Saccharomyces cerevisiae S288C: one gene and its partner. The gene in region 1 interacts genetically with each later gene. Each region holds a gene or a part of one and is shown on either strand. Other genes may lie near its edges.

Region 1 (3,758 bases):
CAGAGAGGGAGCCGTTGTGGAAGTAGTAGACATCGTGTATTTCGAGCTTTGAGAATACAATCTGCCACTTCCAAACAGATTGTTACTGGGCTGTTGCTGGGGTGATAGATGGTAGGGGTCTACCGGTAGATCTGCATTATCGCGGGGGTAAAGGTTACTCCCCTCACTTAGATGTATGACAGCCTCGCCTGCTCTTTTGGGAGACTCTTGTAGATTAGCAGCATACCTGTTCGGAGCAACTGGAGAGTTATGGGCACTATCGCGGTAAAATTGAGTTCTATGGCGACGGTCTGGGGAGTATCTTAGTGCAGCTCTCGAAGGAGATGCCGGAAGGCCTTGGAAAACGTTAGATTGGTCATAGCTATCCTCCAAACTCTCCTCACTGGGATTAGCCCACCGAGAGTTGCTGTTAGCGTTTGCGTAAAATTTGGAGAGGTTTGAAGCACCACGTCTATTAGGAGAGCCATTCGAAGGTTCCACCATAAACGGGTTTCTCGTCATTTCTATATGTGGTTCTTTGGTTTTTATTTGGGTCTATATGTAACTTCCTCTGTTTTCTCTTCTGAGTCACGAAATCAACAGTAATATTATGGAAGATAGTTAAATAGACTGGGGCCATCCCAAGGGAGAGTCCTCGAATTCCCAATTGAAACTAAATTGAAGTTCTGTAAATTTCAATATCGATGCTATCATACTCAAATAGGAAATATATAAACAAATAGTATAGGGGTTTATACTAGGGTTTTAAACCCCAAAAAACTAACCCTACTATCTTCTTTTCAGACCCTAAATTGAAGGAAATAAACGGGAATAATAATCAATAGCGATCTCCCGAAGAGAAAAGTGAGAAAATAGTATAATTGTGTCTATTGTGTTTATAATCGGCATTAGAAACGTATGTTCGTATAAGGCAAGGGAAACAGAAAAAACAGCAAACGTAGAAAAGATGCTGAAGTTGTCAAGAAGTGCCAATCTAAGATTGGTCCAATTGCCAGCCGCAAGATTAAGTGGCAATGGCGCTAAATTGCTCACTCAAAGGGGATTCTTTACTGTAACGCGCTTATGGCAGTCAAATGGCAAGAAACCATTAAGCAGAGTACCTGTGGGCGGTACTCCCATTAAGGATAACGGCAAAGTGCGAGAAGGCTCGATCGAGTTTTCCACGGGAAAGGCCATTGCTCTATTCCTAGCAGTCGGTGGGGCACTTTCTTATTTCTTCAACAGGGAGAAACGCAGATTGGAAACACAGAAGGAGGCTGAAGCAAACAGAGGATACGGTAAACCTTCACTTGGGGGACCCTTCCATCTGGAGGATATGTATGGCAATGAGTTTACGGAGAAAAACCTTCTCGGTAAGTTTTCTATAATATACTTTGGGTTTAGTAACTGTCCTGACATCTGTCCTGATGAACTGGATAAGCTAGGTCTATGGCTTAATACACTCTCTTCAAAGTATGGTATTACTCTGCAGCCATTATTTATAACTTGTGATCCAGCAAGAGACTCCCCTGCTGTATTGAAAGAGTATTTGAGCGACTTTCATCCCTCCATCCTGGGTTTGACGGGGACGTTCGATGAGGTGAAGAACGCATGCAAGAAGTACAGAGTATACTTTTCTACGCCTCCAAACGTCAAACCGGGCCAAGATTATTTGGTAGACCATTCCATCTTCTTTTATCTCATGGACCCTGAAGGACAGTTTGTTGATGCTTTGGGTAGAAATTATGATGAAAAAACGGGCGTGGACAAGATCGTGGAACACGTTAAGAGTTATGTGCCTGCAGAGCAGCGCGCCAAGCAGAAGGAGGCATGGTACTCCTTCTTATTCAAATAAGATTGTAAATATATGCTACTTTCTTCCTTGTATATACATATATACTTATAACGCTATAACCCGTTCTTGTAATATCGGCTATCACCCGGCGAAGGTGTATCGCAAGAAAAAAAAAAGCTCTCTCACTCTAAAGGAGGCTATGTGAACGTGGGAAGATCAAGTGAAAGAAATGTTTGTAGGCCATTTTCTTCCAGAACAGATCCGCTCTTGAGCTGGTGAGTTAGCACGATAACAAACAAAGATACAGCGTCATGTCTACCACACTACTTTGGTTTTCAAGTGTAATAGGCTACGTGATTCAAACAAAATGTTTGTCTAACATACAATCTAAAAAGGAAATCTCCGTGGGGCCCAATGGTACAATTGCAACGCCTGAAACTAACGGCGACAACGGAAACTCAAGTTCATTAACCTTCTATCTGACCTTTATGTATTTTGCTTCGTGGCTGCTCTTGGTGCCTGCATCTCGACTTTGGGAGAAGATGAGACCGATGTTTGTCTCTGACTCAGACTCGAACAGGAATTCTCAGTTTGACAACAACAACAGCGGGTCTGTGACAAACGAAGATGTCGATACGTTCTCGCACGTGTTGGATGATCCTCAACCACGGATTCCAGCCCAACAGCAGAAGCAAAAAATCATATCCGTGGCTACCTTCAAATATGTGGCTAAGCTAACAGTGCTGGCTCTCATAATGATTGTCGCTGATTTGACTTATAACATGGCTTTGTCATTGTCACCGGCATTTGATGTTGCTTTGATGCAAAATACTGCCATTTTCGAAATTGTCACTTTACTATATGGTGTTTGTGGAATCTCCAGGAAGAACTACGTTTTCCGTAATTTCCTCATCATGATGAACGCGGTCATTGGAATTTTGATCATCTCATACACGAAGGCTACCTGTGACATGCTTGCCGGAAAGCTGTCCGTCAACCCTAACACGGGTGAACTTTCTGACCCATTCTTGTTTGATAGGTTGAAAGGTGCTCTGATTTGCGGCCTTGGTGCTTTGATTATGGGTCCTTTTGCCGTGTTATGGAACCGTTGGTTTTGCAGTAACATTTCCAAGAACGAAAATTCTGCTGTAGTCTTGGTTAAGCAGAGCACCCACATGGCCCTAATCGGTATTATTGGCATGGTAATACTTTTGCCATTTATTCCTAAATTTCCCTCCCGTGAGTCTGTGGAATCCATTTCGTTGTTCTATAATGACAAGAGCTTTTGGTTCTCTCTACTAGGCTCGATTATCTTTGGTTCCTTGCCGAGCTTGATTTCGATATTAGAGTTGAATCGCAAGGCCCCTGCTGAGTATTTGACGACGTGCAACCTGGGAGCTATTATCTTTATGGGGTTAGCTGAGTGGGTTTGCGAACCTACGCAAACCACAATTGTGAGATGGGAAGTCATAGGATACATAATGCTAACGGTAAGTTTGTTGGTCCTATCAGTAACACTCGGGGAAGGTAAATACCACCATTAGTACGGACAACATACTTTATATGACTGATGATGATGTAACAAGCATATGCAATTATTTGGTTTCCCTAAATAAAAAATCCCAATCAATATCTTGATTATTTTCAAGACAATTACTAGGATGTTCTTCTATTTTTTTATTTTTATTTGTATATTGTATATTCTAAAAAGAAGAAGCCATTTGGTGGGCTTTATTATAAATATTAAGAGGCATACCTCCGCCTATCCGCCTATCCTCGTCATGAACAATCAATTAAAAGCGCTTATAAAGCGATATACAAGTACAGTACGCGCGATTTCTACAATACAAAAAATATACATCAAGAAAAAAAATGTTTCCAAAAATTATCTAAATGCATCGAAGGCATTAGGAGAAGTAGCTGTGAATACAACACCAAGATTCATAAAATGAACACACGGTTCCTTCCGCTTGGAAAATAATGC
Region 2 (3,758 bases), on another chromosome or scaffold:
CAACATTTACGGCCCAAAGTGCAACCACAAGAGAAATTATATCGTTTAGCATATGGAATGAGTCCGCGATTAGAGCCAAAGAGTGAGACAAGTACCCGGTAGTTATCTCGATCCCGAAGAACACTGTGTCTAGCAGCAACAAGGATATAATTTTTACCTGTTTGCTTCCGAGTTTCATATTTACTCAATCTTTCCGTACTTTGTGTTAACTTTCTTTCTATAGCTATGCAGAACTATTCTGAGCAAAGTGAAAATAATTGGTTACTAAATAGAACCAGAAATGCTTTTCGAGCTCCCACGTAGAATATATAAGACCAATAAATTCCTTTATTGTACGGATATTCTGCATTACAAATGAGTCTTCTGCTTTATGCGGATCGTCAGCTTATATTGCCTTCGTACAGAAAATGAAAATTCACTACTGGAAACGGGTGAGCGGATGTATGAGTGTATAGTATACACCCGGTTTTTTTTACCCTTTCTAAGACCGGAGCTGGCGACAGTAAGTGATAAGCGGCCGTTGGCGGCCGTGGGTGAGTTATGCATGGGAACCAGCATGAGCCAGCGATGTTCACTATAAAGAGATTAAATGTAGAAAGTGCTGAGAGACCGATCGATTGGTAAACTTTTCAAAAGGTGGCCTTCTCCACACTTTCTTTTTCCCTCGTTCACTCTGCCTTGATCACATGCTTTTTTCTATGGTTAACTTTGAAAAATTCGTTCCATATCGCCCGCCACAAGTTAAAACCAGATATGCGTGGGATATAGTAGGGTGGACTGTTAAGTTAGCTATAATGGGCTTGTACTCTTTTTGAATACAAAAACCACCTTTCTACACCTTAATACAAGCGGTGGTTGGAAAGCATTCTTGATATATATAATTATATGAGTTTTGAAAAAAAGTACTGGGCATCATTTAAATAAGCGGGCTAAACTTTGTTTATGTTTAGGTTAACGATAGACATATTTATTTTTTTTTCTAGGAATAAAAATGAAGAACGGGAAGAAAAGGAAAAATGAAAATGAAGAATATGAAGAGTAAACCTACTTAAAAAAAAAAACCATACTTTAGTATTTAATGTAGCTACCACGCGTATTCGATACACTATTATTTTTCTTGACTTAGTATGTCAATTGTAGGTAGCCTCATGATGCCCTCTTGATCTAAGCGCGGTGAAAGTCCGCAGGCAATTGCTATAATACTGACAAAATTTATAAGGGGAGAGGGTCTTTTTTCGGTCCGCACGGAGCGGGCGAAGAAAACGTAGCGGTGAGAAAAGAATACGTCACCAAAGTATCAGAAACGTCACTGCGTTGTAGATGTAAGACCGATCCACTTTGCCAGCTGCTTACGCTGCGGAAAGTAAACAGACCTAGCTAGCGGACCGATAGAGCCGGCTGAACTTTATAACAAATGCGCCTTCTAACAAGCGATGAAGCCATGCTTAGCGCGGCAAAGAGAATTACTTAGAATATGGATGATGCAGCCCTGTCATATTCTTCCATAAGGGAATGACAAGGACAATAGTAAAGTCGATCACGCCCTGTCAGGAACATGATCTCCGCCATGTGAATATTTATGCATGATACAGGCACGAATACATCATATAATACGAATGACACAGGGGCACCCACCCATCGCATATCAGGAGAACTTCCCTGTGCATACGGGACAGCAGAGATAGGCTGTTCTCGCGCGTTTTTTTTTTTTTTTTGCTTTTTTTGGTTCCTTTCGCGGATATCGTATTATCGATATTACAACAAAAATGTTTGGAGATCTCCTTCGCTGTCTTTAAGTAAAAGGCTTTAACCGCTTATTTTTCTCTCTTTTTTTCCTTTTACCCCTCACTTGTCGTGAGACAATTGTAGTATATTTAGTAAGTATAGAAAGTTCTTGTTGTTAAAAAACTCGTTAGGATACAATAAAAACTAGAACAAACACAAAAGACAAAAAAAGACAACAATATGGTTGCTCAATATACCGTTCCAGTTGGGAAAGCCGCCAATGAGCATGAAACTGCTCCAAGAAGAAATTATCAATGCCGCGAGAAGCCGCTCGTCAGACCGCCTAACACAAAGTGTTCCACTGTTTATGAGTTTGTTCTAGAGTGCTTTCAGAAGAACAAAAATTCAAATGCTATGGGTTGGAGGGATGTTAAGGAAATTCATGAAGAATCCAAATCGGTTATGAAAAAAGTTGATGGCAAGGAGACTTCAGTGGAAAAGAAATGGATGTATTATGAACTATCGCATTATCATTATAATTCATTTGACCAATTGACCGATATCATGCATGAAATTGGTCGTGGGTTGGTGAAAATAGGATTAAAGCCTAATGATGATGACAAATTACATCTTTACGCAGCCACTTCTCACAAGTGGATGAAGATGTTCTTAGGAGCGCAGTCTCAAGGTATTCCTGTCGTCACTGCCTACGATACTTTGGGAGAGAAAGGGCTAATTCATTCTTTGGTGCAAACGGGGTCTAAGGCCATTTTTACCGATAACTCTTTATTACCATCCTTGATCAAACCAGTGCAAGCCGCTCAAGACGTAAAATACATAATTCATTTCGATTCCATCAGTTCTGAGGACAGGAGGCAAAGTGGTAAGATCTATCAATCTGCTCATGATGCCATCAACAGAATTAAAGAAGTTAGACCTGATATCAAGACCTTTAGCTTTGACGACATCTTGAAGCTAGGTAAAGAATCCTGTAACGAAATCGATGTTCATCCACCTGGCAAGGATGATCTTTGTTGCATCATGTATACGTCTGGTTCTACAGGTGAGCCAAAGGGTGTTGTCTTGAAACATTCAAATGTTGTCGCAGGTGTTGGTGGTGCAAGTTTGAATGTTTTGAAGTTTGTGGGCAATACCGACCGTGTTATCTGTTTTTTGCCACTAGCTCATATTTTTGAATTGGTTTTCGAACTATTGTCCTTTTATTGGGGGGCCTGCATTGGTTATGCCACCGTAAAAACTTTAACTAGCAGCTCTGTGAGAAATTGTCAAGGTGATTTGCAAGAATTCAAGCCCACAATCATGGTTGGTGTCGCCGCTGTTTGGGAAACAGTGAGAAAAGGGATCTTAAACCAAATTGATAATTTGCCCTTCCTCACCAAGAAAATCTTCTGGACCGCGTATAATACCAAGTTGAACATGCAACGTCTCCACATCCCTGGTGGCGGCGCCTTAGGAAACTTGGTTTTCAAAAAAATCAGAACTGCCACAGGTGGCCAATTAAGATATTTGTTAAACGGTGGTTCTCCAATCAGTCGGGATGCTCAGGAATTCATCACAAATTTAATCTGCCCTATGCTTATTGGTTACGGTTTAACCGAGACATGCGCTAGTACCACCATCTTGGATCCTGCTAATTTTGAACTCGGCGTCGCTGGTGACCTAACAGGTTGTGTTACCGTCAAACTAGTTGATGTTGAAGAATTAGGTTATTTTGCTAAAAACAACCAAGGTGAAGTTTGGATCACAGGTGCCAATGTCACGCCTGAATATTATAAGAATGAGGAAGAAACTTCTCAAGCTTTAACAAGCGATGGTTGGTTCAAGACCGGTGACATCGGTGAATGGGAAGCAAATGGCCATTTGAAAATAATTGACAGGAAGAAAAACTTGGTCAAAACAATGAACGGTGAATATATCGCACTCGAGAAATTAGAGTCCGTTTACAGATCTAACGAATATGTTGCTAACATTTGTGTTTATGCCGACCAATCTAAGACTAAGCCAGTTGGTAT

What was found. A genetic interaction does not mean that the proteins touch.
Region 2: mutations in CSG2 (region 1) and FAA1 together harm fitness more than expected from each alone (negative genetic interaction), as found in Saccharomyces cerevisiae (4 studies listed by BioGRID).

What each region holds. Positions count from the first base shown.
Region 1 is NC_001134.8:308,641-312,398, reverse strand, and holds CSG2 (mannosylinositol phosphorylceramide synthase regulatory subunit), read left to right. Parts: upstream 1-2,085; coding exon 2,086-3,318; downstream 3,319-3,758. Other genes in the region: chitin synthase CHS2, read right to left, coding at 1-501; Cu-binding protein SCO1, read left to right, coding at 947-1,834. UniProt on the Saccharomyces cerevisiae protein: Required for calcium regulation. May regulate calcium accumulation by a non-vacuole organelle. Also regulates the activity of CSH1 and SUR1 during mannosyl phosphorylinositol ceramide synthesis.
Region 2 is NC_001147.6:907,378-911,135, forward strand, and holds the start of FAA1 (long-chain fatty acid-CoA ligase FAA1), read left to right. Parts: upstream 1-1,965; coding exon 1,966-3,758. Other genes in the region: metal cation transporter COT1, read right to left, coding at 1-178; YOR316C-A (uncharacterized protein), read right to left, coding at 349-558. UniProt on the Saccharomyces cerevisiae protein: Activates long-chain fatty acids (LCFA) by esterification of the fatty acids into metabolically active CoA-thioesters for subsequent degradation or incorporation into phospholipids.